2 linked regions of the Styela clava genome follow. The protein of the gene in region 1 binds, or shares a complex with, the protein of each later gene. Links are inferred from orthologs where the notes say so. Each region holds a gene or a part of one and is shown on either strand. Other genes may lie near its edges. The genes, in order: putative cytosolic iron-sulfur protein assembly protein CIAO1 and cytosolic iron-sulfur assembly component 2A-like.

What was found.
Region 2: putative cytosolic iron-sulfur protein assembly protein CIAO1 (region 1) and cytosolic iron-sulfur assembly component 2A-like share a complex: the UniProt entries of both Homo sapiens proteins name them as parts of the CIA complex. The link is inferred for Styela clava from reciprocal best matches to the Homo sapiens genes CIAO1 and CIAO2A.

Annotation. Positions count from the first base shown.
Region 1 is NC_135252.1:24,215,942-24,229,378, reverse strand, and holds putative cytosolic iron-sulfur protein assembly protein CIAO1, read left to right. Parts: upstream 1-6,998; 5' UTR 6,999-7,020; coding exon 7,021-8,022; 3' UTR 8,023-10,158; downstream 10,159-13,437. Other genes in the region: adenylate kinase isoenzyme 6-like, read right to left, coding at 1,014-1,172, 3,780-3,843; uncharacterized protein LOC120342056, read left to right, coding at 10,191-10,372, 11,592-11,817, 12,839-12,960. UniProt on the Homo sapiens protein: Key component of the cytosolic iron-sulfur protein assembly (CIA) complex, a multiprotein complex that mediates the incorporation of iron-sulfur cluster into extramitochondrial Fe/S proteins.
Region 2 is NC_135252.1:20,975,563-20,987,878, reverse strand, and holds cytosolic iron-sulfur assembly component 2A-like, read left to right. Parts: upstream 1-6,035; 5' UTR 6,036-6,173; coding exon 6,174-6,213; intron 6,214-6,854; coding exon 6,855-6,984; intron 6,985-7,907; coding exon 7,908-8,041; intron 8,042-9,243; exon of another isoform or gene 9,244-9,270; coding exon 9,271-9,368; 3' UTR 9,369-10,307; downstream 10,308-12,316. Other genes in the region: uncharacterized protein LOC144421077, read left to right, coding at 5,168-5,725; uncharacterized protein LOC120343543, read right to left, coding at 11,096-11,303, 11,885-12,073. UniProt on the Homo sapiens protein: Component of the cytosolic iron-sulfur protein assembly (CIA) complex, a multiprotein complex that mediates the incorporation of iron-sulfur cluster into extramitochondrial Fe/S proteins.

The sequences.
Region 1 (13,437 bases):
GCGACACCTTGTGACGTGTACATATATTTGAGCACAGCTCTCTTGCTAATTTTATGATTCCTAAGCGACCTCTGACATCTAAATAGATACTATTGTTATAGACACCGGAATATTTTTCGTTCAGGAATGACTACCCAATTCATTATGGCCATGGTAAGTTAGCATCACGGGGTACTACCCATTGTCCTGTGACCCATCACCCCTGTGATGCCAAAATAGTTGGGTCCAGCGCTCTAACTTAGTGGCGCCGCGATTCATGCTAAAATCAAACCAAAATTTTTTTACCTGACAGTTGGAGTTACGTGAAACTAACTACCTACTTTACTCTATGTGGGTCCGTATGTGAATAACGCAGGAATGCTGTAGCAAGAGTGAAAATGAGAATATCGGTCAGAGACCGAAGATTTATCGATTGAAAGTTAGGGGATCTCCCAAAACAGCGCTCTTACTCAATAGTGACACCTAGTGTCCCATCACTGATTAATTAATAACTCGCTAATGATACGACATAATTCGCCTAAAATCAATAGGCTTCTGGTCCGAGATATGATAAATGAACATGCAAAATCTGGAGCAGATTCAATCTTGCTTTCGTGAGATATCGCGTGCATCTAACAGACAGACATACAGACAAATACCTATCAACATACTTACCGATTAAAATTGATAAGTAAGGATCATTCTATTTAATTTACGAGTCTTGCTGCACACTAACATAAATATAATTCTGTAACGTTTTGTCTGATTCATTGCTCCAGATCCACCAGTATGTCCCAGGCCTCAACTCTTGAGCCCTGGTCCTATGCCTATTTTTATTTAAGGTTTAAATGAGAGTTTTGAGAAAATTTTGGTACTCCTGAAGTATGCGCACCAAAATGGGTTCAGGTTGTGCACCATCTTGGTGCGCATACTTCAGGAGGTCCAAATTTTTTTTAATCATAAGCCAACTTGGGACTCACCATGCAAAATCATTCTCAAATTTGGCATAACAAATCTGAAAATCTCTGCCTTACCTATGACCCCATCTTCATCTAAGATCTGACATTCTAATTCTTCATCGTAACCCGTGTAGAGTTCATTTTCTTTCGCTATTTCACCAATGTTTATATATTTCATGTTTACACAACTTGCGAGCTCTTCTGCGAGGGTTGACTTTCCTGTACCTGGCGTGCCTGAAAGTAGTAATATTACGATTTTTAATGATAATGAAGCTTTTTTAATAAAAATTCAAATCGATCGTGACAAGCGGCTCGGCGGTGTGGCGCATCCTGCTAAGGGTTAGGAATACGCTCGCCACCGCATCTCTGATTACCCTTCGTGGGTTCGAATCCTATGCAGGGATGATCATGTGCGAGAAGATTGCTGGACTCTTCGCCGCTGCAGGATGGTTCACGTAACCGCTGGTCGGTTACGGCTTCCTTCGCCATCAAGTCCATGCTTCCGAAAACAAAATAACTGGCTAACTAATCCCATACCCGACCTGGACTGGTAACCGGACGTGGTTCACCATAGGATTAAGCCGTCTTATAGGCTTTTCTCTCCCCCGGGATAAATATGGAAACCCTATCCTATTGCAAGCGCCAACTGTCACATGATCAGATTTGCAATTTTTCAATATTGCAGAATATCAGTGTCAGTTTGCACTGATATGGAGATCCAGATAGTCTCATATAGAGGGGAATTGCACTCACTGTTATAATTGATGTCTTTCATTTAAGGGCTATTCTTGGGGTAATAGAACTGTGCCATACTGTTTTGTGTAAAAGAGCATTTCTTGAAGATGCATGGGCTTCATAATACACACAAAATAAAAATTGGAAATTCTGGAAAGCGAGAAAAACCCTTAAAAAGTTTTAGACATGAAAAATATCATGTGCCTGCTCACCCGCACAAAAAAAATCATGAAAACACAAACCTAAACATGAATAAAAAAAATATGCGAATGTATTAAACCAGGGTGGTCCAAGGTTGTCGGCTCCGCGGGTCACAATAGTGCCAAGAATAGGTAAACAGTGCAATACAAAATAAACACTTTTATTGTGCAAACACATAGTTATCAGACATAGCCATCCCAGGCTAATAGAATCCGCATTCGATTTTTAGTTTTCTATGATGACTATATTGTTAGCATATATTCCCGACCAAAAAGATAGAAATCCAGATAACAATTTAGACTGCCAAGCACATCATTCAACTTCGCTATTTGCCTCAGCCAGCCATAACACTCATTTCAGTGACATTAGTGATGAAACAATATGTCAAAAGATTTTTCTGATAAATTTGATTACGAAATAACACAAATGCGATTTATCGATTATTCTCCGAATGTGACGTGGGCCACAGATAATGAAGCGACGGGCCACATGTGGCCCGCGGGACTGGGTTTGGACCACCCTTTATTAAACATTCAGGCTGTACTTTTAAAACACTCAAGCTTATTAAAGTTCAATTTCACTATTCTAGCCACCGGAAAAACCTCGCACAGCACGTCGATTACAGACTGCCTTCTAAAAAGAATGGTGGTCTTATGTAAAAGTCGAATTACAAGCCAATTTTTTCTACATTGTGTCATGTTTCACTGAAAACCAATCATAGCCTTACGATGGTGTATGGTTGTAAAACCGCCTACAACGTTGCCGGCGGATTACAACACAGGCCCAACGTAGTTATGCTATCGACAAATCTGGGTAATGGCTAATACTACCTGATACAATATATACCTTAATTCAGCGGTTCCCAAACTAAGGGTCAAAAGGAATCTTAGTGGGTCGTGAAAAGATGTAAAAAGCTTTGATTAATTATACTGGTTATTAGGATCGGTGGCGACTCGAATACGTAAATCTTTAAAAAAAAACAAAAATAATAAATTGAATTTAAATTCTAATCTGTGACAGTTTCATTTTCACGATCTTCTCAAAGGAACAAAAATTTGCTACACAAAATCCTAGCAGTTCATTCATCAAAAATAAAATTACATTGTAGAAAATCACGAGATGGGTTGCCATAAGCTGTAGTAATAAATAGTGCGTCCCAACTCTAAGAAGTTGGGGAACCACTGCCTTAATTTGAATGTCTTGAAAGGATGGAAATATAAAATTTAATTTTCTATCTTCTCAATACTCTGTACACTGATACAGTAATACATATATCTGTTGTAAATTAAAGTAATGTCTAATTTGCCCCATCTCTCAGTGGTATTGCGATAAACCAAAGATATTTAGAGTCAAATTTAAATCTTGATTATTCGACAATATTTTTACAACGTGATGCATCAATCAATACAAAACCAAAGCGTTAATATCAGACCTGCCTACAGTTTTAATTATATATAATATATTATATAATTTATCTTAAGTTTATTGGGTTTACTTATTTCGCAATTATCTCTGTTGTTATGTGTGTGTGTGAATTAATTTAATAATTTTAGGTGAGTGAACACGTACCAGTTCTTCTTAGCCAAACCTTCCATCTTATATTCTGTACGTTTTAAACCTTATCTAAGGTTTTGTTTGCTCTCCTGATTCTATAATCGGTTTATATTTTTATTATTCATTTTAATTCCTGTTATGCAAATTATGGAGCCGAAATGACCTTATACTTATTATTTTAAAAAAATTATTTATTTTTCTGTTATTGTTCGATCAATTGATTGTTTAATTTGGTGATAATACTGGAATTAAAACAAATTAAATTAAGATAAATTGTACCTAGTAAACAAAAATAATAGTGAAAAACGAAAATACTTAAAATCGAAAACGTTATATATATAATCATCTTACCGGTTATTAAAACATTTGGAAGTTTTCTTTGGTTCATTTTGAATGTACTTCCAGCACAAAACATTCAGAAATGACGCCAATATGACGAAACTCGTAGAAACTGACCAGAACGAGTTGATCTGATGTAATTGTAAACAAATGTGACTCCACATGGAAACTCTAAAGTGACTCCTTGTGGATCAAAAATTTTTCCACACAAACCGCTAGATGACGACATTGAGTCGCATGTGAATTTCCGATTGATTACATTTCAGAAAATTGGAATGAATTTATTCAAGTTCTAATTTTTATTTTTCACCAAATTAATTGTTGGGAATACCTCAGAAATTGGGCGACCTTTTAACAATGTCATGGCATTATCCCAGTGCCACTGGCACCATAGATCACGTGAACAAAGTTGGTAAACATGACTTTTGCTTTTGTCCACTCTCAGACAATTTCGTGTTTTGCTGCTAGCTTCACAGAGGTCTCTCAGACTCTGTCTGTAGAAATCTTCAGTTTTTAGACAAATGATACATATTTTTTTTTTATTATGTTTGTTTACTATCGATGTGTAAGTCATCGAGTTCTTCTTACTTTATATTTTCTCTGTGTTTGTGTGGGCGCGTGTGCAAACTAATTCAATTATTTTAGGTGAGTGAACACATAATTTGGACGTTGTTTTGCTAGTTAGTAGGGTGGTGTAGCCAGTCTGCGGACGATTTCATTCAAACCGCGACGGCGACTAAAACAAAAACCAATATTTCCAACCCGTTAATTTTTTCACCGTAGGTGCATTGGCATTTATTCTACACGCTGAACTTCTACGACCAATTTCTAATTCTACGAATTAACTTTCTACGACCAGGGGTTAAAGCTATACAAACCACCAAAGTACGACACTCTGAAGACGTTTTTGCGACCGAACGACCAGTGTGCGATCACGAATTTCAAGCCTTGAACATCGTTTCTGCTGCGTCGAGACTAGGGCATACGCAGCCATGCGTGAAAAAATGGGCTTCTAATTGCATTTCTGACCGTCATATATTTTAAGAACACAGTTATTTCAAACAAAATTCTTCAAATTATAAACAAAGCGCCGCATCACAGCAATCAAACAGACAAAAACACGGTGGTCGCAAATTTGTTGACAAAGATATTATTGACGTATTGGAAATGCGCACCCCCCTACTCCCCCTCCTTTGAATGTAGAAACGCGAAACTTTAAAGATGGTTAAAAGAAACACAACTCTTCCCACCTGCCAAGTTTCATCTCTTTATCTCTTATATTTGTATGGATTTTTAAGCTTTTCCGAAGGAACAATGGGTAGTTGGCGACATGGTAAAATGGTCCGTTTTTTTTCTTCGGTCAGGTTTTCAGTCGTAACTTTTTTATTTGTGGTCGCATTTTAGTGTAATTTTGCAGAGCTACGAGGGATAAGTGGACGATAACGTGTGAGAAATATCGTCGCGGTTCGTTAATTTTTTCGGCATTCGTTTAATCGATGAAGTTGATGGTCGCAGATAGGTCGTGGCCGCAAAGTGGGTAAGCCACCCTACTTCTAATTGTTGAGTGAAGCAGGTCTAGCTCACCCCTTCATATATCCAACTTGGCAATTCTGATTGGGCAATTTGGCATTAGGTGACTCCAATTATAATCAGATTGACGATATCTTTCAAGGAATACTTTTCTATCCACAGTTGATTAGTCTTGTTGACTAATTCGATATCCAATTCGGCAATCTTCATAAAACTATTAATTTGGTGTGGCAAATGAGTTTACTCATTTTTTTCCTTTGTTTGTATATTTTTCTTTTTACTTTTAATTGATATTTGAGTAATTTAATTGATTTTAAGTCTCGCTTTTTCCACTTCCGACGTTATCATGTTTCAATGATTGTAGGTGCGTGCCTTAATTAATTTTTTTACTTTTGGGTGAGCGAACGCATACTACTTCCTTTATCAATACCTTTCCATCTAAAATCTGTACGTCTATGTAAAATCTAGCTAATCATGTAAAAACTTTTAACTACAAATTATTGTGGAATATTTTACCGCTTAAACCAATGTCAAGAATTAGATATATTGCTGGAGATGACCTATGTGTATTTTGGGACAAAGAAGCTGAATTTATAACACATTTATTCTGGAATTGCTCATTTGTGAAACAATTGTATGATTATGTTTTTTCTATTATTATGAAAATAACTAACAGTGGCAACTTAATAAATTATGAAACATGTACATTATTAGATTTAAGACACAATAATTATATACATTTGACCAATATAGAAAAAAATGCTATTATTTTATTGATATGTACTGCAAGATATAAAATTTGGTTGCAAAGAAATGCAGTGATTTTTGAAAATGTAATGCCAAGAGTGAATAATGTAGTCAATACTATAAGAAATTCAATAAGGTGTAGGAGAAATATAGAACGACTGAGAAATTTACCTAATTATTGTGAAGAACTTGATTTATTATGCAAATATATATAAAATATAACTAGAAGTGTTTATTGTAATGAAGTGGAACTAATTCTTGAAATTTAAAAAAAATAAATAAATCTGTACGTTTTAAACCTTACTCAAGGTTTTGTTCGCTTTCCCGATTCTATAATCAATTAATTTTATCTCTTGTTTTATTGTCTAATGCTGATTATGGAGTTGAAATAAACTTATACTTATTATACATACTGACATACCGTGCGGTACCACTTCTTCTTGGCAAAACCTTCCATCTTATATTCTGTATGTTTTAAACCTTATCTAAGGTTTTATTTGCTCTCCTGATTTCATAATCAGTTTTTTATTTATTTGTTTCTATCAATCATTTTATTGCCTGGTATGCTGATTACTGGATTATGTAGTCGAAATAAAATCATACTCATTATGTTTTGTTTACTTTAAATGTACATATTCTAAGTAATCTTCTGGTGCACTTGACCGAAAATGAGTGGCATTGACATGTTCATTGTTGGAATTCAACAACTGTTATACTTATCCTCCTAATTCAGTAATCTTTTCAGTATATCACAAAATAATATCATTCTAGGATTGCGGAAAGTTTATATCTCTCCCATTGCCATTTTTTTCTATCGCAAACCGAGTAATTAGCAGACGTAGAAAAACAAGTATAGTTTGCCTGACGAATATGTTTTTTGAAAGCCATACTTTATACTTTAAATTTACATAGTTTATGTCTTCATTTAATATTATTTTTTTTATCATTTAATAATATATTATAAATCAGCCCTATAATGTCTATCCGACAAATTGCAACGTTAACGGGACATGGTGATAGAGTATGGGGTGTTCACTGGAATCACACAGGAAAGCATTTGGCGTCTTGCAGCGGCGACAAAAGCGTGCGAATTTGGGGGCTGGAGGGTGAAAAATGGGTCTGCAAAACGATTCTCGAAGAAGGCCACCAGCGTGCAATACGAAGGGTTGCTTGGTCCCCTTGTGGGAACCGTTTAGCGACCGCAAGTTTTGATGCAACAGTTTGTATTTGGGATAAAAAATCAGGGGAATTTGAATGTATTGCAACACTTGAAGGACATGAAAATGAAGTCAAAGCTGCAGCCTGGTCCATTTCAGGGTCATATCTGGCAACATGTTCTCGGGATAAATCAGTCTGGGTTTGGGAAACCTATGATGAGGATGATTTTGAATGTGCAGGGGTCGTGACCTCTCATACCCAGGATGTAAAAGAAGTAGTATGGCATCCTAATGAAGATATTTTTGCTTCGGGTAGCTATGACGATACAGTGCGGATTTTTGAGGAGGATGACGGGGAGTGGGTTACTGGTGCAGTGTTAGAAGGTCATGACTCCACCGTGTGGTCAATTTCTTGGGATAAATCCGGCGATCGATTAGCAACAGTCTCAGATGATAAAACTTTAAAGATATGGAAACGCTATAAATCTGGCAACCCTCAAAATATTGTGACAGGGAGTTCAAAGTATTCATGGAAATGTATTTGCACTCTTTCTGGATTTCACGAAAGAACGATATTTTCCGTTGACTGGTGTCATCAAACGGGACTCATCGCTACAGCGTGTGCCGATGATGCTATTCGAATCTTTAAAGAAGATGAGAAAAGCTCTTCTGATGAACCGACTTTCAATCTGTTGTGTTCGTATAATCACTCTCACGCGCAAGATGTAAACTGCGTGTCCTGGAATCCCGCTCAGCCGGGAATCCTCGCTTCAGCGAGTGATGACTGTGAAGTTAAAATTTGGAAAATTGATGATGTTTAATCTTTTTATGAATTTTAATTCAAAACCTAATGGGAGAGTGGAGCCGATAAGAGGGCTTAATGGGTGCTCCCGAAGTATGCGAACCAAGATGGGCGGACATCGGAACGTAACATGGGTAACAGGTTATGGTTAGGCGATGATTTTTTTCCAATTTTCCTTATTTTTATCCTATTATCAGTTCGAAGACTAGCCAAGAGCCTCCCGTAGTATTTATAGCTAAAATTATGGCCTAACCCTAACCTAGTACACATTACATTCCGATGTCCGCCATCTTGGTTCGCATACTTCGGGAGCCCCGCTTAATGATATGGCGAACTATGGCCTCTCGACCATGCAATGGTGTTCGAGATTATCAATGGCTTTTAAAACTTATCCTAAGGGGAGAGGAAATTTGATAAGATGGCTTAATCATATGGAGAACCACGGCTTCTTATCTGGTTATCAATCCATGTGATGATTTTTAGGATTCTTCATAATATTTATTACTCATCCATGTTAATGGGAGATGAAAAACGGTAACGTGGCTTGATCACACAGTATGCTGTGTTGAGGCAGCTTGACTCAATTTGAATTGGACTCGAGTTATCATTTTTTAAAGACTTGAAGTGACTTGGGGCGTTGACTTTGATGACTGTCTGGTTGTATCACTCTCTCCAAAATAATTTATTACTTATTATTATTATTTTTTTTACGATGACTGTTATATTATTTTGGTTGACGAAAAAAATAAATCTCTCCTCTCTCGTCGAAATCGGTGATTCTCAAACCGTGGCCCCTTGGGCGAAATGATTTAATATGGCCCATGCCCATCGGACCTAATTGAAATAGTCCAACACTTTATAACATATATATTTTTGCATTCTAATTACTGTCAATTGTTATGTCATTATCGCAATTTTTAATGCATGTGTATATCATAACAATTTGATTTTCATCTTTTGAAAGTACTGATCGTAATGAAGTGATTCAACAAATGGCCAGTGAGACTTAATGCAGGAATTGACTAGACTTGACTTACATTTCTAATCTGGTTTTCGTTCCGAATCCAATTTTTAAGGAGCGTTGTCCAAGGCTAAAGACAAATATGACCTATATATAATATTCACAGTTTGTCATATTGAGATCTGAGCCTTCGGCCCAGTAACCAAGTCTATTCTCTGTAACTGACCCACTCAGAAGAGTAGTTGCCCTGCCTTGAAAACCAATCTATTCTTTTATATGCTGTTCACTCTGAACAAGGCTACATTACTGCTATTTTCCCCATCTTATGTGGTCCATGGCATCTTCTGGAATTTACATGTCTGGATCTTCATGTGTTTCGTGAAACTTAGTGTAAAAACATATCAATTCAGCGACCCATACCCTATCTCCATCTTTTTACACCGGAACCTGGGATATGGACGTGCCATAAACTGACTATTGTACATATCGTCGTTGTGCCGTACCTCTTTGTCTTGTGTATTTTATTTGTATAGTAATTTCATGTCTGTTGTCCTAGTATAACGCAGCAGTCCTAAACATGCATGTCGCACATCTGTGTCTTAGGCCAGTAAGGTCTTGAACATGTATCCAATCTCTGTTTTACTCTTTAATTATTATGCAGCTACTGTTACTTTTTTGAGGCAAATAAACATACATACATACATACTTTTAGCACTCATGGCCCCCTGTCCATCATTCCAGTGGTATTTAGAGTGTAATTTTATTTGGTAGATTAGTTTGACACCTGACATTGTGGCCCAACTGTTCTGTGGCCTTCCTGGGGAGGTATGGCTTCCTGGTTGGGAACTGCTGTTATGTAGTTTGGAACGACTGGTATATTTCTGGTTTGGCCCTGGGTGAGGCGCTCATTTATAATTATTCGAATGATAATTTTTAATCATTGAGGCATATCTGGTCAGAATAAGTTCTATTCAATTTAGTAGGGTATAATTCTGTCTAATTGTTTTTGCAAATATTGAGGTGTTCAACTGTTTATTTTTCACTATTAGTCAATGAGGCAAATCTGGCCAGAATATTTGCTTCTTAATCAAAGGGCTTAAGTGCTGCCACATTTATTCATTTCAAGAATATTATTATGATCTATCAGCTTTCCCATTTAATAATTTTATTGCTTTTTTTCATTTTTAAATTCAGCGAAAATTTTGTAAATAAAATCAAAAATATAAATGGAGACGCAAAAAGGCGGGAATGGTCGCGGTTCAATAAACCCAAACTATTTGCACGGTAATGCCGTAACGTCTATGATTTCACCAATTAATAAACAAGGATATTTGGGAGATTTAGAGGAAAAATCTGAACCAGAATTGAATGAATTACTGGAAAGACAGGAAAAAATGCTGAAAAATAAGTAAGTGGTATATTTTAAATTTCTGTTTGTGGGTTTTAGGTGAAATTTTCGTGTCTAGATGTTTCAATCATACTTTTCAAGTTTCATACTTTTCGAGTCGAGTATGAATCATTTTAAAAGTGTTGCTACAAGAAGGGTCACACAAACTCACTCAGAAGTAAAGGAGCCATTGTGTAGAGAAGTGTTTCTCAACCTAGGGTCGCCTTTAAATTTTTTTTTCGGTCGCTTGTTTTTTCAACCAACTTTAATAGTCTTCATTTTCAGGTAAATTTTATTGTTGATAAGTATGTTGATAGGTATTTGTCTGTATGTCTGTCTGTTAGATGCACGCGATATTTCACGAAGGCTTGGTTGAATCTGCTCCAAATTTTGCATGTGCATTCATCATATCTCGGACCAGAAGCCTATTGATTTTGGATGAATTGTGTCGTGTATTAGCGAGTTATTAATTAATTAGTGATGGAACACACGGTGTCACTATAGAGTCATGAATCGAAACCACAGTTTCGATTGATAAGTCTTCGATCTCCGACCTATATTCTCGTTTATTACTTATCGATTTTAATCGGTACTTTAATCTTACGAAAGCGAGGTTGAATCTGCTCCAGATTTTGCATGTGGATTCATCATATCTCGGACCAGAAACCTTTTGATTTTGGATGAATTATGCTGTATAATTAGCGAGTTATTAATTAATTAGTGATGGGACACAAGGTGTCACTATGGAGTAAGATTTTTTTGGGGGGGATCCCTTAACTTTCGATCAATAAGTCTTCGGTCTCTGACCGATATTCTCGTTTTATATTTGGTATTGAAGTGTTGCTCAATAGTAGTTTTATACATGGGGAGTATCAGAGGATAAAAGCTTTGCAGCTTTTATTATGGTTTATTTAAGTAAGACCATGGCACGCTGAGGGCAAAAATATCAGTCTTTCAATTTTGCGGCCATAAAAGTATTTGTCATTTCGTATTTGAGCATATCCTTGAGTCATGAGATTTTACAAAACTCATTTTTTTTAGAAAGTTTGGTTCGCTTGAAAAAAAAAAGGTTTGAAACCTCTGATATAAAGTAAACAAAACAGGGCTTGTGAACATTTACATCCGACTGATACCCGAAGGGCTACTGTGTTCTTCGAATGACCCAAATCATTTTACTATCAAATTGTATTAGACTTATATTTATGAAAGACTTTTGATTCCTGGAACATCTTTCTTTCAGAAAATTTGTTGAAAGGCTTCCAGATAAAGGAGAGAAAATTCAAAATTTTGTAAAAACTTTAAAAGAATTATTAGAAAAAAGAGAGAAAGAAAGAGAAGAAGGCAAAGTGACAGAATCATTCAACCATCATGTTGAAGATGACCCCAACATGCCAGGTTTAGAAGAAATTCCGACGGACGATAGAAGCTCCAGAATGGAACTGGGTGAAGATACACAGTTGCCACATGTAGGTGTTGTGAGTTGGTATTGCTGCTTTTGGCACTGCTGCTTTATACTCAGTATGAACATATAATTAGTAAATGCCCACAAACATAACCAGAGTAACCCTCAAGGCACCCCAACAGTAATGCGCCCCCAAGTACAGAGAGCACATGACTACTTCATCTTCACAACTGTGATCAATCATCTGTGACTGATGACATCACAGGTCATGCTACAATGAAGGTACAGATAACTGTTTTGGCATATATTTTTGTGACATTTTTTACTCCACTGTTTCTAAACATTTAATCTGAATAAGGGGCACGATTGCTTGGCGGTTGGATGGTTAGGTCTTGCACGATGCCAGAGTACTTTGTTTATAACGAATGGCACGAATAAACGATAAGCACAGCCTTGTATTAAAGCAGGGGTGGGCAACATACGGCCCGTGGGCCGGGTCCGGCCCGCGACGAGATTTTGATCGGCCCGCTGACTGTATCCAACCACACTCTGTAATGTGGCCTGACGTATCATTCATGAAAGTTGCCGACCGCTCTACTCTCACCGCACTATCTGTGCGAGCTGGTGAAATAAACAATTGCCTTAGTGAACAAACAATTGTGTTAGCACACTTGTTGAACAAATAATACAAGGTCAAAGCAGAGAACATAGATTCTGAATATAAATAAAATTTAGATTTTATATTAAGTTTTATTAACCATGGAATATCTCAAGAAACGTAAAGTTGACAGAGAGTGTCATCGAGTGTCGTTTAATTTTCTTTCTTGCATAAGCGAATAAATATGTGATTAAGATATTGAATACTATTCGTGTTATAATCCGGCCCACCAAGGACTTCATTTTCCCCTATCTGGCCCGCCGACTAGAGAAGTTGCCCACTCCTGTATAAGAGCATTGGCGTTCGCTTGCAACTTCTCAGTTATATTCCCACTTTTAGTGAGGGCTCGAGACATTGTTTGAGTGAAAAATTTTTAACGATGATTATGCTTTTGATTTTAAAATGTCTGAAAATTTTTCTTTCTTAGGAGAAAGAATTGAAAATTATAGAAAGGGGATTCGACCAACTATCTGTGCATGAAGGGCCTCACTACCAGGTCATTGTGAAAGCAGAAGAAAAAAGCCACAAATCAAAGTTTGCATTGAACAGGTTTGTTTCCTGCTAGCGTAATAGAGAGAGAGATTTATTATTTTGTCAACAAATAACAAACCGTCATCAATACGAAAATAGATACATAACACAAATGAAATTGCTTTGGTATTGACAGGAGGGAGCGATACGACCATGAGGTCATCGAGTTCAACTCCCACCCTATTTTCTGAAGTGATTAGGTTTCACACTAAAGATGACTATTAGAAAAGTTGGTCTGTCAAATAATACTTTTAAAAATTCGATGTAATCTCAGAAAACTATGGGGGGATGTTTTATTGAGAACTCATTTACACAATAAAAGGTATACGTACCCGGTATCGGCAATTGCAAACGCACCCCTCTCCCGGGCTCCCGATTATCATTCCGCTTATAATTTTAACCCCAGCCAATCAACTTTGGAAACTATGGTTATATATGATACTGATATATAAAGAAGTATTATTCATGGAAAAGGCTGGTTTAGTTTTGGGATCG
Region 2 (12,316 bases), about 3.2 Mb from region 1:
ATTCCTAACGCTTAGCCCGTTGAGCCACACCGACGCGCCGCGAACGTTATATATTGCATAGTTCGATAGGATTCACATGTTTATCCCACGGGGAGATGAAAGACGATTAAACAGCTTAATCATATAGCGTACTACTGGGGAGAGAAAATCTGATTAGGCGGCTTAAACATATAGATCATGTCGGGTATAGGATTAGTTAGCCAGTTATTTGTTTTCAGGTAAATGGCTTAAAGGTGGAGGAAGCCGTAACCAGCCAGCGATTACATGAATCATCCTACAACGACGAGGATCCCAGCAATCCTCTAACACGGGATTCGAACCGCGTAGGGCGGTGGTCGGAAACCTTTCGTCGCTGGCGGGTCAAAATTAAGGGTTGCAAGTCTTGGCGAACCGCACATATTTTTTAGAAGTTAAAAACGGAACAGCGCGGAAAGACTGCGACAATTCGTGAACTCAACTTATCCTCTTACAAATGACATTTAATTTGTCCTGTTGTTGCATCACGCTTTTTGAAATCAGTGGTACACCGAATGAAGCCAAGTTTAGAACATTTTCTACATGGGCATCACTAATTCTAGTTCTATGCTTGTTCTTTGTAATGTTCATTTTAGAAAATGATTGTTCGCACGCATAGGTACTTCCAAATATTGAAGTGAATTTTTTCGCATAGGCTGATTAAACGAGTAGCTGTTCACTAAATTTTTAGGTTATAATATATATAATTTAGTCTAAACGTATCCAACAATAAATTTTGTTATGTAAAGAATATAATCTACTCCTCAAACGTAGATTATAAAATCAATTCATCGTCGAAACCGCTGTTTTGTCGCTATAATTCAGTGAAGCGTCGCGGGCCGGATTAGTTGCCGACCCCAGGTGTAGGGTGATCAGAGGTGCGTTGACAAATATTCCGGACGCTTAGCACGATGCGCCACGTGTATAAAATAAGGCATAGTTAGGCTTACCCTACGTCCCGCTTTAGGCGGGACAGTCCCGCTTTTTAGCGTTTTGTCCCGCCGTCCCGATAAGTTAGCTAAAAGTCCCGCTTTTCCAGCATAATACACAAACATGTTCTCGTTACTGTTGTTTCTGTGTAGCGCAGCGCTAGCTACTTACTGAATGTGAATGCAATCGTTTCCCGCTAATTCCCATTGATGGCAGACGTATCGCGTGTAAAACCAATACTAATTAGTCTAAATTCGATCTATTTGTACCGGTATCGTTAACGTCAATTCCTTCCTATTTTTCGAACTGAACCCGATATTTGGAAAGAGAATATGCGCATGAAATTTCGATAACAAAATGGTCAATAAAGACAGCCGAGACAGCTTTAAATGTAGGAATGTATGCCTATGTAGTAAAATCGGAAAATGTGAAGTTACAAAATCACAGATAAGGGGTCGTTGTCATTTGAGGCGTCCCGATTTGAAGTCACAAAAATATGGTAACCCTAGGCATAGTAGCACATGTAAGTTGGCTTGGCGTGACAATTTTTTCTTTCATTCCAAACCAGAATTATAAAAAAAATTAATAAAAAATATGCACCATAAAAACGATTTTTATAAAACGTTAATCTGCCCAGAGCTGTGCAGCCGGCGCGAATTTGCAACCGACTCGCGATTTCGAGTTGAAAACGAACAGGCTCCGAATCTAGATTTCGACCCCGTGTTGTAAAAAGATTTGACTCCGACTCAAGTCCCGAACTCCGGAAAATTGAAATTTGACATTGGATACATTGGCGTCCACAACTTTTTTAATAGAATGTTAAACTTAGCACGCTGTAAGTTTTGAGTTTAATTTCCAGTTGTTTCATTATCATTCAAATGCAGCGATTGCAACCCCGGGAAATTCAGAATTTGACTCCCCGACTCCAGTGAGATTGAAAATACGACCCCGGCTTCGACTCTTGTGAAAATATGCTAAATATCTGGTACTCCCGATGTATGGTAACCAAGATGGCGGACACCGGAACGTAGTATGTGTATCAGGTTAGGGTTAGAAAATAATTTCAGGTACACATACTACGGGAGTCACTTGGCTAGTCCCCGATCTCGTAATATAACTGAAATAAGGAAAATTGGAATAAAATTCTGGCCTGACCTTAACCTGGTACACATACTACGTTCCGATGTCCGTCATCTTGGTTCACATACTTCGGGATCGGGAGCACCAAATATCCGTCTCCCTAAATCTAGTAATACAACTAGTTCATTATCTTCCAACCTCGAGCCTCGTAAGCCTCGGCAGGGTTGAAGCATGGCTTACACCTTACATAATGGTAAACATATTAATCAATATCTAATTAAAAATAGGATAGGATTTACATATTTATCCCGGGGGAGAGGAAAGCCGATAAGACGGCTTATCCATATGGCGAACCACGGCCTCTCGTCCGGTTACCATTCCAAGTCGGGTATGGGATTAGTTTTTACTGTATTGTTTGTTTTCGGAAGCATGGACTTGGTGGTGGAGGAAGCCGTAACCGACCAGCGGTTACGTGAACCACCCAACGACGGCGAGGAGTCCAGCAATCCTCTCGCACATAACCATCCCTGCATGGGATTCGAACCTGCGAGTAATTAGAGGTGCGGTGGCGAGCGTATTCCTAACGCTTAGCCCGTTGAGCCACACCGCCGCGCCAATAAGAAGTATAATTGAGATTTTTCACTGTTCAATCATTTTAAATTAATTAATTAGCCCTATCGGTTAGTAACAAACCGCGTTTTCAGTGAAATGTACCAACCCATCATCAATCTCGCCTACTTTATTGCCTTAATGCTGTAGTGTATTGTGTGTAAAACTTATAACATCCGATGGTGTAGGCCCAATGTTACGCCTATCGGTATAGATATTTAATTAAACCCGCAACTGCCTGCCCGGAGCATTGTTCTGAAAAAAAAACCACAACACTTTATGACACAAGTTTGGTACTATTTTCGCGTATTGGACAAAAGCAAAAATGTAAGTGTAGTACTATACTACACCCTTTTGCCGTGTATAATTCAATAGGCCCGCACCTGCTTGTCTACGGCCTTCATCGAGGCGAAAATATGGAACGCTTGACGAATGAGAATGGTACTATTCCTCAGCGACGGTTTTAGACCACGCAACTTACGCGGGCACCGCGCAAAGTCTGTGAGAGAGTTATTAAATTTAATTAAGCTATTATTATTATATAATCACATACGGGTCAGCATGTTTATTCTGTACACGCAAGACTCGTCAAGCTAATCGTGATTTAGTAGGCCTACTTAGTTCAAAGGTAATAGATGTAAATACGAATCCATTTTCTAGTACAAAATCTTAATTATGATCATGTCTACCTAGACTAGGCCCCGTCTAATCCCTTTTGCATAGGGCCCAGCATTAGTTAAATTCGACCCAACTGTTCCTCGCCTATCGATTGATGTAAAATAAATGATTGTCTTATATGTGGTACTATAATAGACTATATATTTGTATTAATAAGCCCATTCCAGCTAATCTTCGTTTCGAGTGAAATCGTAAAAGTGTCTACAGGTCTACTGGGCTCGGCGGTGTGGCGCATCGTGCTAAGCGTTGGGAATACGTTCGCCCCGGCATCCCTGATTACCTTCGTGGGTTCACAGGTTCGAATCACATGCGGGGATGATCATGTGCGAGAGGATTGCAGGACTCCTCGCCGCCGTAGGGTGGTTCACGTAACCGCTGGTCGGTTACGGCTTCCTTCACCATCGGATACATGCTTCCGAAACAAAATAACTGGCTAATTAATCCCATGCCCGACCTGGACTGGTAACCGGACGAGAGGCCGTGGTTCGCCATATGACTAAGCCGTCTTATCGACTTTTCTCTCCCCCGGGATAAATATGTAAATCCTATCCTACCGTGCTTTCCTCAACGCTTAATAATAAAAAATGGTACATTGCAAGTATACTTCTTCCGTCTATATTTATAGAGTGGGAAAGGATGCGGTTTTATTGTTTATCCCGGGGGAAAGGAAAGCGCTAGCCAGCAGTAACAAACCTTCATGTGGGTAGAAAGGTCCATCAAAACGCTACGTCCCTGCCACTGTTTATTTAAATTCACATATGTATGCCAGTTTGCTCATATTTATTTTAAGCTTTGCGACATAATCCCGAAAAGAGAGATTTCGAATGCGCGAATGAATTTGTTTGTACACTTTTTGTTTTGCATTGACGAGTGATCGCCTCTTTACTTACACAAGATTACTTACGTAATTGTGACATCGCGATGGCGTAATTTTTGATGACGTAGTCTGCTGGACGTCATGGAAGACACACGAAAAAATTATAAGAAATAGTACTATTATTTAAGTTTATAGACTTTTCAAGCATTCTACCGATATATAAAAACAAGCTCGTTTCTGTTGGGGTGAATTTCGAACACTGTTATGAATCAGCAAGAATGATCACGTGATAAGTCTTGTTTTTGACAATGCTGACTGGCTAATTTATCAACTGCAAGTTTGACCGTGAATATATACTACTACGGTTTGACAGGCAGCGACCTTGGCGGTTGTGTTTTTGTAGTAATTAGTAGCCTAGTACCTGTACATTACGGGAGACTGTGACGCCCAAGTGCGTCAGAATGCAGAATAAATTTTTCATAAGATAGTTTAATTAAATCTTACCCTTTACCTTGAAGATAACTGGTTAACTAATCCCATACCCCGCCTAGACTGGTAACCAGACGACCCCCCCGGGATAAATATGTAAATCCTATTCTACCCAACCAATGGTATCAGTTTTGTTTTTATCAATTATTTACATGATTTGGTCTTCATGGAGGCATGTTTATAAAGGACAGCTGTTTTATTTGAAATTTGTGTGACATTCTTCTCTGTGATACTGTATGTTTTATCACTTGAGTTTGGTACCGGTATGCTGGTATGTGATGGTGAATGACTAAACGGGAATTCGATATCCCACACCTGCAGACTTGTTACAAATCCTACTCTTTTTTTAAGGGTTGGTCGAACTTGCGATCTTGGCTGCCAAAGTTTTATTGTTTTTAATTGCAATGTGTAGCCTACTTTAAGGGTATTTGAAATAAATCACTATCTCTCCTCATTTGCCACATCTCTGTGCAACATGTCATAGACAAGGCTGCAAGGATTGAAATAAAATTCCATTGTTTTCATAACAGATTTTTATTAAGCAATGAAATGAATTTATTACGAACTGCAACCAGGAGGGCTTTGTTACTAGAACGCCTAGTTTTTGTCGAAAAACATTTGTTAAATCAGAAAAACTGGCTGGCAAAGTCAATACCAGCATGCAACTATGCGGAGAAAACATATACAAGAAAAGTGTTTCGACCGGCAATAGGAGATAATGATGTTGTTGAAATTGAAGAACAAGAAGTCGTAGACAAAAGAAAGACTGAAAGTGAAATTTATTTAGAGAGAAAAAAAGAAATTCATCAAAATAAAAAAAAAGTTCGAAAATTAACAAGAGTAGATAAAATGATTCTTGTTTTTGTTGGGAAGTTTGAAAATATGAAAGATGTTCCCGATCAACTGACTTTTAAAACTCTTGAGAAAAAGCAAGAGGCTGATGCTGAAGTAAAACATCTCATGCTTGGAAGCGTTTTTAAATATGGATATTTTTTCGAGTATGCTTCTTTCTTCATGACTTTTTCTCTCCTGGGATATGCACTTTATTATTATAACAAACAAAAAGAAAGTGCGGAAACATCCACTAGCAAAAATGCTGATTCATGAAATTTTATGTCACTACGTTGGAAGTAGTCTCTCATAAGCTCAGAGCATATACTCCGAATCTGACTCAAGAGCAATTAAAAAAAAATTGACTTTGTTAAAGCTGAACTGTGAAAAAGGAAAGTTAAAGTATCATTTCTGTGCACATAAACGATTAATGTTAGTTTCACCAATTTTTATCATTATTTGACAACACCTATAAAATGTGAAATAATAAGATAAACTGTATTGAATTTTTCAGATATTTATTATAATGTATAGGTGGTACCTTAATTGGTTTAAATTCTTGCTAGATTATAACTGTCTGTTATAAAAGAATAACCTTTGTCATATTGGTTTTTGTTTGGTAAAATTATACATTAATGAATTTGATATATTTTTGTTTCATGATAATTTGTATATCTTTAAAAAACAGCTACACTTTTTGTGTCGTAGTTTTGTAAATACAACAATGGATTTGGACATTGACACACACAAAGGGACAATATATGGTATGAAAAATGTCAACTGTTAGTCGTTTATGCCAGGGCTGTAAGGTCTGACAAAATTTACAAGCTCCAGGCTGAAGTAAATCGTCGATTCGATGTTAAGAAGAATTTTGACTGCCAATTCTATGTGTTAAAAAATTTTGACTACAGCTTCGAGCAATGATTCTAGTAAATTTTTTTTTATTCTTGTAGTTCCCAGGCCTTTAGTGGTCGATGTTAAATTCGTTTAGAAATCAATCTTCTTTATTTCTAAACGAGTGAACATGACTTTACTCTAAGAAAGTTCTTTCAAAAAAAAAAAAATAGTATACCGATGTTGTATTCATCATTTTTCAGTGCTCCCGTAGTATGTGAACCAAGATGGCAGACACCGAAACGTAGTATATGTACCAGGTTAGAGTTAGGCCATAATTTTATTCTAATTTTCCTCATTTTAGTTCTATTACGAGTTCAAGGACTAGCCAAATGACTCCTGCAGTATTTGTACTTGAAATTATGGTCTGACCCAGTACATATACTACGTTCCAGAGTCCGCCATCTTGGTTCACATACTACATGAGTACCCATTTTTCCACCAGTTAATGTTAATTGGAACCCTTTTTCAATGAAAACTCTGGGATTACTAATTGTCACCTTTGTTATAGATCTTCTGCGAACAATAAAAGATCCTGAAAAACCTGGAACTTTAGAAGATTTAGATATTGTGTATGAAGAAGGTATCAGAGTAGAAACAGATGCTGATCAAGAACGATACTTCGTCGAAGTTGATTATAAGTCAGTATAGTTCTTGTATTATTCTTGCTATTGGGGTTAGTCATTTTCATTATAGCTGTTTTGTATTTTCACTGCCCTTGCGTATATGTCACTGGTGTGGGTAATCCAGTAGTGTGTGTACCATGTTAGGGTTAGGCCATATTTTTATTCCGATTATTTTAGTTCTTTTACGAGTTCGGAGACTGTCTGTTTTAGACAAGTAAATAAAGCCCCTGATTTCAGTTCCTTTACACAACTTGATATAAAATGGGCGAATAATATTAGTTACCTCCACTTCTGGAGCGCCCTGGTGTGTAATATCGCAATGCTTCCACGTTCGTTTTGTGAGAATTTCATCTTGGTTTTCACTTATATTCAATGTCACAAGATGATGTGGGGCTGTGGGCATGAAGTACTTTTAAGTTTTTTTTTGTGTCCTGTGCCTTAAAACATAACAGAGTTTAAAATGGATTCTTACCTTATTAATGCTGGGGTGTGCGTCATGCTTAGAGTTTAGAAAAAGCTTGTCATTGCATCACTTTTTGATCCTCTGACGGTTCATTGTGTATTAGGTGAGAATATAAGTCAGGAAACATGGTGACCTTCTTTCTAATAAGATGTTAAGCTAGGAAGAATTATGTGTGGCTAGAGGAAAGTCGATAGGACTGCTTAATCATATGGCGACCCACAGTTGTCCGGTTACCAGACCATGTCGGGTATGGAATCACTTAGCCATTTATTTGTTGTCGGAAGCATGGACTTGATGGTGGAGTAAGCTGTAACTGACCAGTAGTTACATGAACCGCCCTTTGACGGTGAGGAGTCCATCCTCTCGCATATAAGTTAACCATCCTTGCATGCAAGCATATTCCTGACACTTACTGAACTGGTGATGCAGCATCCTGAATGAACAATCTTAACAGCATTAATATTCAATATTGCAGACCTACGATTCCCCATTGTTCACTTGCTACACTTATTGGACTATGCATGAGAGTTAAATTAGAGAGAAATCTTCCAACCAATCATAAAATATCTATCAATGTTGCTGAAGGCACACACAACACTCGTGACGAAAGTAAGTGAATTCTCGAGGAGCAGTACAATTTTTTATACTGTGCTTATATGTGTAGTGTTTCGCCCCCATCTGCAAAGTTCCCTAACTTGCTAAGCTTTCCCCGAAACATCACACAATGTTTGCACCCAAAATAAGAGGCTTTTACTGCTACGATTCAGTATGCACAAAAGTAACTAATACAACTTGAACAAACGGCAAATGAGAATATCGGTCAGAGACCGAAGACTTATCGATCGAAAGTTAGGGGATCCCCCAAAACAGCGCTCTTACTCCATAGTAACACCTGGTGTTCCATCATTAATTAATTAATATCTCGCTAATTATACGACATAATTCATCCAAAATCAATATGAATGCACATGCAAAATCTGGAGCAGATTCAATCTCGCTTTCGTGAGATATCGCGTGCATCTAACAGACAGATACTTATCAACATGTTTACCGATTAAAATCGATAAGTAATAACCATACATCAGGCTGCCTAACTGCTGGGTCCACACTTTTGTGTTAGCTGAAGCATGGTGCTTATTTGACACAGTGCTTTTGAACAACAGTTGGCCCATTATGCTAAGAGTTAAGAACCCCAAACACACTGCGGCAAATCTTTATGTACCGGAGGATTTCTGGACTCTTTGAGACATCAGGTGGTTAACGTAACCGCTGGTTGGTTCCACCATGAAGACCATGCATATTAACAAATACCTATTTCCATATGGACATGGATCAATAACCAGATGAGAAGCCATAGTTCGCCATATGATTATTAAGCGGTCTTATCGACTTTCTCTCTAATCAATTGTTCTCTCAATCATTCATAAGGTTGGAAGCAGTACTTTTGCACAAAAACTTTATGGATGAACAGATAATTCATAATATATCGCTTGTAGATGAATTAGATTATATGTTCTCAAAGGGCTCTTTGAGAGAAACCTGAAGCTCCGCGAAGAACTGTTAATAACTGTTCAAAGAAGCAATAACAGCATTACTAAGACTTGATAACGGTAGCGTCTAAATTAGGCAACGAGGCCAATAGATGATTTTTATAAATATATTGAGGGGCTCCGTAAATAATAATCAACAGGATCCAAAACACTAAAAGTTTGAGAACCTCTCCCTGGATTGGATGATATGTTCTGAGTGACCAGGCTCTGATCAAATTTCCTTGAGAATTTCTCGGCTTACTATAGCGTTGTGAATTATCATCCAATTCATAAATTTCTTATTTTCAGTCAATAAACAAATCAATGATAAAGAAAGAACCAGTGCTGCAATGGAAAATCCAAATATCAAGAAAGTTGTTGAAAAATGCATCCAAGAACCTGACTGACACGTACGTTGGTCGTACAACACTCTGAACTTCATGTGACAACTGACAGTGGTCATGTTGGCGTAATTGAATAAATGCAGTATTTAAATTATAAATCAATTATTTTTCAAAAAAATCAGAATATCTGATATTTCAAAATCTAATTCTTGTATTAAATTCAGTGGTACTCCCACAGTGTGTATTAGGTTAGGATTAGGCCATAATTTTATTCTGATTTTTCTTTATTTTAGTTCTATTACGTGTTCGGCGACTGCCTGTGTTAGCCAAGTGAATATCCCCTTTGCCCATAGGTTTCAGTCCCTTTACACAACTTGTTGTATAATATGAGAACAAAATTAGTTCCCTCCATATTGGTACACACACTTCTGAAGCGTCCATCTCTCCATATAACTATTGTTCACAATTCTGGGGGCCAGTTCAGTTGCACTTCCAATTTTATTATTTTTTAGGATTACAAAAACCAATATGACACGCCCATAAGCCTTGACTTCAAGAACCCTTAGCAGGCATCCGAAAATGTCTTTGAATGCTAAAACTTCAATCATATACAGGGTTGTTAAACAGCTATTCATCTAACAAGGAATAACCTTTGCAAAAGTTTTTTAAAGGCATATGTTGTCCGTGCCCTTCAGAAAAGTGTCTTAACCTAGAAGTCCAAGCTCGTTCAGAGTTTTGAAGGTAAACTTGTGGGATCCAATTCAACCTATACACATTTATTTGTTATCAACATCTTAACTGATCTTCAAATTTTCTTCTTGCCACCAGCGTGTATATATGTTGATTGGGAACTGTTCCACACCTTAACAAAAGAGTGTTTCTTCATATTCGATTAATCTAGGATCTGCGCAAAGAGTTACTGTCATAAATTTTTAATTCTACCTATTATCTTGTTTTCTGTGATATGAATTTAGTTTTAATAAACATATACCATATAATTTGATCTGAAATCTTTCCCTACCATCGTAGCGGGACTTGATATGATTTATTTATAATTAAAAAGTGTATCCGTGAAATTGGTAATAACTTAACTATGGTGCCACAGTCACTCGGGTTGGAATGAAACTTTAACTTTAACAATGAGGAGCAATTAGCAAGTTATGCTTATAATCCGATCTTAGTTTATCAAAATATTTTGCAAGGAGTGAACGAAAAATTACCAATATTACTGATGCCCATAATCTTCTTGTTCAGTCTCAATTACATTATCAGCAAAATGCCAGACATCCTTCTTTTAACAAATATTTAGAATGGGATTTACATATTGATTACCCTGTGAGAGAGGAAAGTCAATAAGACGAATGGCGAACAACGGCCTCTAGTCCATGTTGGGTATGGGATTAGTTGGCCAGTTATTTCTTCCAGATGCATGAACTTGATGGTGGAGGAATGAACCACCTCACTGCGACAAGGAGTATATGCGATCCACGAAAAGCGAACCCACGCAGGGTAATCAGAGGTGCAGTGGCGGGCTTAGCACCATGCACCACACCACCGATTGTCTCAGTATTATTTCTTTGAATATGGGTTGACTGACAAAAATTTTAAACAGAATCCAGCACGATGAGCCCTTATTCCATTGTCATTTCCAGCAGACTCCCTTTTTTTCAAATGTCGGCTGGACATATAACAATTCATGACAGATGGATACAGAGCTTGTGTGCTTTCTCAGTTTCTGCTAATAGTACCAGTACTATTGACCTTTTTATTTGTCAGCAAGTTCATGACTGTCATGTAGTTACTTCTGATTTCTTCCTTTTTTTCTTCTTAGGCTTAACATTATGGTTAGAATCACCAGAAGTGGTTAATCGATTGTGATTTGTCAACTTTGTGTTTTTATTGACACATCTCTGAAAAGCCCCCTCCCCACTGTTCAAAATAGTGTCTCCAGTCATGCATACCGAGGCAAATTTCAGTCTTTCCTCTTCGTCCGAAGATCTGTATAAATACAAAATTGTAAATTTGTGGACAAGATAGATGTTTGACAATGGTAGTGTCTAAATGGGGCAACAAGGCCAATAGATAATTTTCATAAATTTTAGTGCCGGACTTCGTAAATAATAGTCAACCTCTTCGCAGGCTCCATAACACTAAAAGTTTGAGAACTGAATTCTGGCACCATAGGTAAAGATCTTAGATCAACCCCATCGCTAACACTAACTTGGGCAGCAATTTTTCAAAAATAGCATATCAGCAGAGTTTTGTGTAGAGTAAAAATGTGGCTACGACTCCTAAAGAAATCATAAATTATTAGGTTAACAAACTGATATTAACTTGCTTTCTGATGTGCATTATAGTTTGAGATGACAATAGCGAAGTTTAAGATCAAAAGGTGCAATTGAAAGTGTATAGCATGGTGCGACAACCACCTATGATATGATAAAATATGATTGTCGTGATCAGAATTCGAAAGAGTAAACATTTTTATTTCAAAGATCATCCAGATGAGGATACACTCAGGGATTCTCAACGGTATTACCACTATCTATAGAGATTATTTTCAATCTCAAAGTTCTTACTCATCTGAAGATAAAGCTGTGGAACGTTTCTTCATCTTTGATTGTTTCAATCTGAGATTCAATATATCTCGATCATTTGCTTCCTTCAGAAAAGATTCTGATGACTGGAGTAATTTTATCCCACAGTTATCAAGGTCTTGTGTGTTGTTTGGTTTTGTAATGTTGGGATTTTTCTGTATTTCTATTATTCTGAAATAATATTTAAAGATGGGTGAGCGTCGAGCGAACATGTACTACTTTTTTGGACATTACCTTTTCATCTAAAATCTGTACGTTTCAAACCTTACTTGGGGATTTGTTCACTTTCCCAATTATTTAATCAGTTTCATTTGTTTTGTTTTTATCAATTAGTTCGTGTTCTATGCTGATTATGGGTCAAAATATAGGTTTATTATTTATCTGAATATTGTGTATCTTGGTTATGATTCTGTC